2 linked regions of the Sus scrofa genome follow. The protein of the gene in region 1 binds, or shares a complex with, the protein of each later gene. Links are inferred from orthologs where the notes say so. Each region holds a gene or a part of one and is shown in the gene's direction. Other genes may lie near its edges.

What was found.
Region 2: CPSF2 (region 1) and CPSF4 share a complex: the UniProt entries of both Homo sapiens proteins name them as parts of the cleavage and polyadenylation specificity factor (CPSF) complex. The link is inferred for Sus scrofa from reciprocal best matches to the Homo sapiens genes CPSF2 and CPSF4.

The regions. Positions count from the first base shown.
Region 1 is NC_010449.5:113,658,426-113,662,848, forward strand, and holds the start of CPSF2 (cleavage and polyadenylation specificity factor subunit 2), read left to right. Parts: upstream 1-1,512; 5' UTR 1,513-1,639; intron 1,640-2,961; exon of another isoform or gene 2,962-3,079; intron 3,080-4,423. Other genes in the region: NDUFB1 (NADH dehydrogenase [ubiquinone] 1 beta subcomplex subunit 1), read right to left, coding at 1,157-1,334, 1,465-1,512. UniProt on the Homo sapiens protein: Component of the cleavage and polyadenylation specificity factor (CPSF) complex that play a key role in pre-mRNA 3'-end formation, recognizing the AAUAAA signal sequence and interacting with poly(A) polymerase and other factors to bring about cleavage and poly(A) addition.
Region 2 is NC_010445.4:6,373,002-6,377,310, forward strand, and holds the start of CPSF4 (cleavage and polyadenylation specificity factor subunit 4), read left to right. Parts: upstream 1-1,360; 5' UTR 1,361-1,513; coding exon 1,514-1,616; intron 1,617-4,309. UniProt on the Homo sapiens protein: Component of the cleavage and polyadenylation specificity factor (CPSF) complex that play a key role in pre-mRNA 3'-end formation, recognizing the AAUAAA signal sequence and interacting with poly(A) polymerase and other factors to bring about cleavage and poly(A) addition.

The DNA.
Region 1 (4,423 bases):
AGACAGAAAGGTCAACACTTATTTTAGCCTTACTGTTGACTTTATCTCATTTTTCCTAATAAGGGCATAACTCAGAGATATTATGGGGTTGGTTCCAGATCACTGCAATAAAGCAAATACCGAGATAAGTGAGTCAAAAGAATTTTTTGATTCCCCAGTGCCTATAAAACTTGTTTACACTATACTACAGTTTATTTAAAATATGCAATAGCATTATGTCTAAAAACACACTGTACATACTTTAATTAAAAATATAATTTATTGTTAAAAAATGCTAACCATCATCTGACAAGGGTTGCCACAACTTCAATTTGTTAAAAAATATCAGTGAAGCATAATAAAATGAGGTATGCTTGTATTATTTACATTTTCTTCAATCCATTTCTCTCTCTTAACTTCTCAAAAGAAGACTGTATATGGTGTGTATTTTTCTAAGTCCTTCCAAACTCACGTTGTAATAATAGTTGATTAGACATTAAAAAAATAAATTCTATTCTCTAATTAGTCTCTATTGCACTTATATGTATTGATCAAAATGTGTCGACTTAACGTAAAAAAAAGTCGGGAGCCAGAAAACTCCTTGAGGTCTGGAACCCTGTCTTAACAACATACACACGCTAGAAATAAAGCACAAATAAATCCTTTTTTTAAAAATTAAGTTTTTACAAAGTGCATATTTTGTGGAATGGTGGGCTCAAGAGGATTTGAGATGTAGAACAGAGCAAGGTTGCGATGCTGAGTAACAAGCAAGACAGAACTCTGAAACTTGGACGAATCGGAGATCTTTCTGGAGAAGCAGCCCCTTCTCTCCTGCAGCCTAGGAGCTGTGATCCCAGATAGTGTCTCCTCCGCTCGGGCAACATCAAAAGACATTTTCCAGTTATGCTAGCCTCAGAGTACCCTTTTCAAAAGGCATCAGACGGGAAAGCTGAGCGCAGCGGTCCTCCAGAAAGCAACGCCCTCTCCGCCCCCCCTCCCCTGTCCCCCTCTCCTTCGTTGGGAAGCCTGGGAAGCCGCGCCGCTCCAGTCCTGCAAAGTCCCAGATCCCCCGCACCTCCCCGTACACAGGCTGCAGAAGGCTTTCCTAGAACTTCACCCCACTCCGCCTGCACAAAAGCAACTCTAGCCGCCTCCAACGCCTCGACCCCAGACCCACCTGCGGCCTCAGAGCCAACAACGACCCCCACGACCAAGGGCAGCGGTGAACCCAGCCACCAGCGCCGGCGGAAGCTGTGGCCTCGGGATCTACCATTCGCCGGGCCCGCTCGAAGAGAGGGGTGGCTCCGGGAAATCATAAATCTTCTTCCTTTCACTCCTTGATTCTTATCACATTTCTTTAAGATTTAACACATTATACAGCCTTTAAAAATAAAATTTTGTTCCCAGGTGAAGAGTTGGTGTTAGCACCACCTCCTTCCTCCAGCTTTGTCACCCCTCGCCCCCGAAGATGGTATCACCCCTCGCCTCCCCGCCTCCGCGGGTCTCCTCCAGTTTCAAAATGGCGGCCGCCATTGAGGGTTTTCTGCTGGCAGATCGTCACGGGTGCTGCTGAGCCAACATCAGCTTTTCTCGTTCTTGAACCTGGATTCTACTAGGGGTTGGGAAGGGCAGTGGACGGCGTTGGGGGAGGACTGACGAGGCAAGTGGGGGCGGAAGAAATCAGTGCGCCTTTGGATGGGGGAGGGGGCGTCCTCGGCCCTCGGGGAGAGCCTGGCTCCGACTCTGACTCGGTCTCCACCAGGGACGCGCGCCTGGGGTTTCGGTTGTGACTCTCCTGGTCATTCCCGGCCGAAGTGCTCAGTGAGGGAAACAGTGATTTCTTCATGGGTCTGAAGCTCCCGATTCTGTTGTGGCAGTTCCTACGATTCAGTCCCATGCTCTCCTTCCCTCTTTTTTGCTGTTTCCCTCCCCTTTGAGTCTCGGCGCCGGAGGAGTTAATCCGACGTCCGCTTTGGCTCCTTAGCTTTGTGGCTGCCTTGTTCTCAGCCTCCTCGCTTGGGGTCTTCCTGTCGCCTCGGATTGAGAGACCACGAGGCTACTGGCCACAAAGCAGGCGTCCTCTTTAGTTAATCGACTCAAAGACCTTACCATGCTTTATTAAAAAAAGTTTCGGTTCCCCCCTACCCCCCATAGCCTTTGAGCACTTCCCGTATTATCATTATTTACGTACTCTTCAGTAAACAAGAGGTCAGAATAATTTTAACCCTGGCAAGTCTGGCTTCCTGTGACCAGGCGAACTTGAGTGAGCAATTGCCCATGCCCTAATAATATTTTAATGTTTTTTATGTTAGAACCCCTTTGATCCTGTTAGGAAACCAGTGCTCTCCCGGAACTGACCAGGAGGAGACTTCTTACGAGTCTTCGAGGTTAACCCAGACTCTCATTTTCCTTAGACTTTGCTGATTCCCCTTAGTTGTCATTAACATGCACCCACAATCGTTATTAAGAAAGCAAGTAACTTTGATAGATAGTTAAGATGAAATGGTGTTGGTCAAAAACCGCTGCCCAGCAGCAATTTATGATGTCGTGAGGGTTCATTCCTTTCAGTACACATGTACGTTGCTTTGAACGCTGTGCTCCGTATTGGAGATTAAAAGATTCACCTGAACGCTTCTCTCATGCCATTCAACATCCATTCACCATTATTCTTTGTGCCCACTTGTGCCAGCTAAATGTAAATACCATTGCTTGGAGACACCAGAATAGCTTTATAAAAGAGTAAATTTGAGCTGGGTCGTGAAGGGCCAAAAGGAATTTACTAAGCTCACGGGAAGGTCATTCTTGGTTGCAGTGCGGGGATGCAGAGACTGGAGAAGTTTTGGCAAGCTTGGGGAGAGCGGGAGAATGAATGTATTTGAGCATGCTGTGCAAGGGTGGTTGGTGAAGCAAGAGGAAGATTGAGGTAAACTTGTAAAGGACCTTGCTTTCCAAGGAAGGTGTGAGATTTTCTTTGGTACTTAGCCAATGACTGCCTTGCACAAGGAAGGGGGCATGAGGCTATTTTTTGTAGGATGGTCTCTCTGATAGCTGTATGGAAGATCAACTTGGAACTGAATGAGAGGAAATTGCAGTCATTCAGGTAAGGAAATGAGTGCCTTCATTGGGGAAAGATAGTAAAGGATGTTAGACATTTCTGAAATGTCAAAAAGGAATTCAACTGGTGGCAGCCAATTTGTGGTAAGAAGGTGACTTCAGAATTTTTCGTCTGGGAGACTAAGTGGTTGGTGATACCATTAAAGTCTAGTCTGAGATGTGCATAAAAATAGGACGGTGCCTCCTTGCACTTTAGGGGTGACAGAGCACAACGCTCCACAGTCCAAAGCATGTTCAGAGTTGCTATCTGTGCTATTCCAGTAGCCACCAGCCTCATGTAGCTGCTGAGCTTTTGAAATTGTGGTCAGTTCAAATTGAGTTGTGCTGTAAATATAAAATACACACTGGATTTTGAAGATTTAGGACTGAAAAAAAAAAAACCAGTTTCTTAAAAATGATTACATGTTGGAATGATAACATTTTGGATATGTTGGGTTAAATAAAATTAATTTCACCTGTAAAACTTTAATGTGGCCCAGAAAAAAAATTTTAATTACATTTGATATGCATGCTGTTTTTATTGGACAGAGCCGTACTAGTCTAGATGAATGATAGAGGAATTAGTGAGGAGTGGAATTTAGGCTGGGCCTTAAACTGGTGATGGTCAGCAGTGCTGTCAGGGCAGCTTGCTGGCACCCTCCAGGTTTGGTTGTTTCAGACTGTAGGAAGCCTTCAGAGATTTCTAAGCAAGGACTCATACATGTGGGGGTGTTTCAGAAGATTAATCTGGCAGTAGGGTTTAGGTTGAGATGAAGGGAGGAAAGGCTGGAGGCCAAGAAACAGAAACCCAAATGTAAGGCAATGAGGCCCTGTATTAAGGTACTTGCTGTCGGAATGGGGAGGGAATGGTAAATGTACAAGGAATTCTAAGGGGAGAGTAATTCCGGAGGTGGTAACAGTCTGTTCAAGAAGCAAAGGGAGGAATCAAACATGTAGAGTTTCTAGCCTTGGTTCCTTAGACAATGACTCGTGAACTCATGTCGCAGAGTTATAAGGTGCATTTGAGGCTGAAGAAGTTTAGTCTCAAAATAGCACCAGCAAAGGTGAAAGGAGGGAGGGGGCTGCTAAATCCTCTCTTTTTTTTTATCTCCCTGCTTTGACCACCGACTTTATCTAAACAATCACACATACCAGCAAATGTTTTGAATCTGCAGAACTGCCTATATCCTGTCATCTTATAATTGATCTTAAAATATCTCTTTGTTACCTGTTCTGTCCAACAGTTAGAACTAGGTCCAGAGTTTCCAAGGCCTTTCATTAGCTGGCCCTTTTCTATTCATTAGGGCTTTTCTTTCATTTTTTGCTTATATGATGGTGTGCCAGGCTAGTT
Region 2 (4,309 bases), on another chromosome or scaffold:
TCGACAGGTCAATAACTGAGAACCAAGGAGGGGAATGACATTCGCCCTGAAAACGTGCAGTGGGTGAGACTGGCTAGCTCTGGAAGGGGCTGGCTTTGAACCCAGGTCCATGGATGGTATCAGACAGCCTCTCTTGACCAGCACCCTAGTGACACTAGTGCAAAAGCCCTTTACATTCTGCACCTGGTGAGGCTCCACCAGAAATGTAATGTGAGCACGTACGTAACTTAAAATTTTCAAGTACCCACAGTAAAGAAAGTGTTTACATACATGAATTAAAACACAGAATTTTAATTACCGATATTGAAATAGGTGCCCCCATGTTTTTTAAACATGCTTACTCAAATAAATGCTTCTTTTTCAACCATTAAATAACAACGTCGGATCGTCATCTTAAAACAGTATAAAAGTTTGTAGCAGGAGTTTCTGTTGTGGCACAGAGGAAACGAATCAGACTGGGAACCATAAGGTTGCGGGTTCGATCCCTGGCCTCGCTCAATGGGTTGGGGACCCCGCGTTGCCGTGAGCTGTGGTGTAGGCGGGCAGCAACAGCTCCGATTAGACCCCTCGCCTGGGATCCTCCATAGGCCGCAGGTGAGGCCCTAAAAGGGCAAAGGACAAAAAAAAAAAAAAAAAAAGTAATTAAAAAAAAATTTTTTAATTAAAATAAAATAAAAAAAGTCTGTAGTAGCTGCAAAGACCCTGTCTCCAACCATCATTACACTCATCCCTACTTGAAACCACGACATCCTTTGGGCACAGCGAACGCCCCTCGGTCAGTCGTGAAAGGGGCAATTTCGTTCTCCCCACCTGCCCAGATTAATAAACCGTATTGCAGACACGGGGCCCCGCCGCTCCCCAGACGCCCGGAGACCCTCAAGCTGACCCCTCTCCCAGGCTCCCCTCGATCCTCTGTTTCCTCAGCCGACCCAACGGCTCCGACCCTGGCTGCGACCCTCGCTGACCCTCTGGCCCGTCCCGACCCGGGGCCCGGGCTCCTGTGAGAGTCAAACAGGCACTCGCCCCAGGACTGCGGCCCAGTGAACGCGGCCCACCTCGGTCTCCGCCCGCGCCCCCTGCCCCGCGCCCGTCCCGCGTCACCCCTAGCGCCATCCCAGCCGCGCCTCGAACCCCGGCTCACCGTCCCCACCGCCTTCCCAGAGGAGCGCCTCGGCCGACCTCGCGCAGGCGCAGTCTCCGTCGCGAACTCCTGGCGCGCTAGGTTTCTTGGTCGCCGGCAGCGGCGAGGAGAGGTGAGAGTTCGGCGAGCGGCTAGCCGGGCCTAGCAGAGCCGCCTGTACTCTGCGCTTGATTGGCCCGGTCTGGAGCGAAAGGGCTGGCGCGGGCTCTGGGTGCTCCCGGCATCCCTTGGGCGGCGGCGGCGGTGGCGCCGGTGTTGGCGGCAGCGGCGAGGCGGCGGAGGACAGTGTGCGGCGGGTCTGCGGCGGGTAGAGGTGTGAGGGAGACGAGGAACCTGAGCGGGAGCCGGGCCGGTGTGGCCGCCGCCGCCGCCATGCAGGAAATCATCGCCAGCGTGGACCATATCAAGTTCGACTTGGAGATCGCAGTGGAGCAGCAGCTCGGAGCGCAGCCGCTGCCCTTCCCCGGCATGGACAGTGAGCGCAGGGTCCGGGAGGAGGGCGAGGGCGCGATGGACTTGGCTCCGGGACCCCCCCCCCACCCCCGCCGCTGTAGTTCCAGGACGCCCTGCCCCTCAGTTCGGGAGCTCCTCCCCCTCGGTCCTGGGACTGCTTTCCCCAAATCCTGGGACCCCCACCCCACCTTCTCCCGTCATTTGGACTAAGGAGCCCCTCTTCCCCGATCTTCGACCCCTGAGAGCTAGCCTAAGGCTAGGGCAGGACCACGTCCCGCCCATCAAATAATTCTTGAATGAAAGCGGGTATCGTGTATTGGAAATACTGCCCCCACTCGAACACGCTCCCCAACTACAGAAAAGTACCAAGATATCCCCTTTCCCCATTTCCAGCCCCCCACTTTGGGCGGTCTCTTCTTGCTTTCATCAAAACCGGGCCGTTGGGAGAGTCTTGCAGAGGGAAGGACCCACCCCTTACTCTGTAGGAGACCCCCAATGAGGCGCTCAAGCTCCGTTTTTCTCCTAGGACTCGCGCTCCTGGGAGCCCATTCCTCACTGTTTCTCTGGACCCCACCTCTGGGTCATTCCTCACACCCAGGCAGCCGCCCAAGTGTCCTTCACTCTCCCTCTTCACGTGGCGGCAGTTATCTTTTCCTCTTTCTTTCTCAGAGATACTTGAAATTTAATGCTGTAAGTTAAAGCTCAGAGGGCTCTTAGGGGTCAGTCATTGAGTTCAAGCCACAGATGAAGCACCTGAGCCCTGGGCTGGGGAAGGGACTGGCCAAAGACTGCTCAGCGCCTGATGGAGCCAGATGAGCTCGCCAGGCTTCTTGACCCTTCTATCTGTGGCTCCCTGTGCCGTCCCCCTAACTGCCAGAGGACATGGACCACAGTGCCACATTCTCCTACCTGTCCCTGGACTAGCGGAGCCTCCCTGCGGCCTCATTCCCCTCAAGTGGCCACACTTCTCATGCACGTGTGACCTCTGAGTTGTCCCTCTTACGCTGACGTTTCTGTATAAGATAATGCATGTACACAAGAGACGTACCTTTAGCAGCAGTTACTTTCTATACACATACAAACGCTGTCTCCACTGCATACGGCTTACAAGCCGCTGCCCAGACCCTTAAACCGGTCAGTGCAGGTGATCACTTCATGCTTATACACAGACATCTACCCTCACACCCGTGGCCTCTTCCTCTGCTGATGGCACTAGCTCGAGACCAAGGAACCATCCATACTGGGCAGCTCTTTCTCCCTCCGCCCTCCAGCCTGGAACCACAGATACCTGAGCCCGGGAGGGCAGGTGCAGCGGTGAGGGGCCCTCAGATCTGTGCTTGGAGAGGGTCCAGGACCTGCCTAGCCACAGGTACTGCCCCAGCCCAGGGCCTCAGCACTCACCGCCTGCCCGAGATCACGGTCAGTGTGTCAGAGCCCAGGGAGGCCACAGCCCTTCCTCCCCCTCGTCCTTGCACTTGATTTCTGTCTTAATACAAGAAGGATCTATGGGTTCTGTCCTGAAGGCACATTTCTTTATCATGTCCGCCTCAGACCCCGTCCCCAGCACTGTGGACTTTGGCATTTAAGGAATAAAACAACCTTAAACCTCTGAAAAGAACGAAGGCTCAAAGTACTCTTAAATGATAACTTTTTTTTTTTTTCTTTTCTTTTTTCTTTTTAGGGCTGCACCCGAGGCATATGGAGATTCCCAGGCTAGGGTTTGAATCATAGCTATAGCTGCTGTCCTGTGCCACAGCCACGGCAATGCCAGATCCTTGACCCACTGGGGGAGGCCAGGGATTGAACCAGCAGCCTCATGGTTCCTAGTCAGATTCATTTCCGCTGAGCCACGAGGGGAACTCCTTAAAAGATTTTTTAATGTAAGACTTCTCGGACTTTTCTGAAATGCACACCTCTGACGCCCACTTCTGTAACCTTAAATCTGTCCTAGCAAAATAGACCTGCTTCTAAGAAGCCAATAGAGCTCTTGAAAGTTTGCAGGGGAAGACACGTAAGAGATGCTCGTGGTGGGTTTTGAGCATTTCTAAAATGCCCACTGATAGAGAAAACTGAAGCCACAGATGCTTTCTCCTGGTGGCCATGGCGGGTGAATTCCTGGGCTCCTTATTACAGCCCTGCACCCCACTGACTTCTCTGTGCTTGGCCTTCCTTCTCCTGCTCCCCTCCCGTGAACCAGCTGTATCTGTGGAACATTGAATTGTGTGTTGCTGCCGCTTATTAAGAGCAGTCACGCTCCTGCGTCATCAGTTATGCTCTTCCCTCCAGGAGGGTCTCTGAGCGCCCACCTCTTCCTCCTCGGGGTCCCCGTTTGCTTGTTTGTGCTTCCTGTGGGATCATTCCCTCCCCCTGCCTCAGGTTCAAGTGCCCCTGAATTCACCCTCTGCACAGTCTGAGCAGGGAGAAATTAATTTCTGTCACTTGGGCTCCATCCTTCCTGCGCCCAACCACTCCTAACTCCTTGAAAGCATCTGGCTTGTAGGAGGTTCTCCGAAAGCCCTGAGTAATGACTGGTCTCAGCATATATGCCTCATTCTGCCAGGAATGGCTGAGAGAAAGAGCATTTTCCTTGCTCGAGCTTTGCATTTTCTTCCCACTCTATTTCCTGTACCTTGAATCCTCTGGGGGTTAAAGGCCAGAAGGGTTCCCTCCGCATTCTTCAGACGTCACCAATAGCGGTGATAGCTTGCTTTGTTT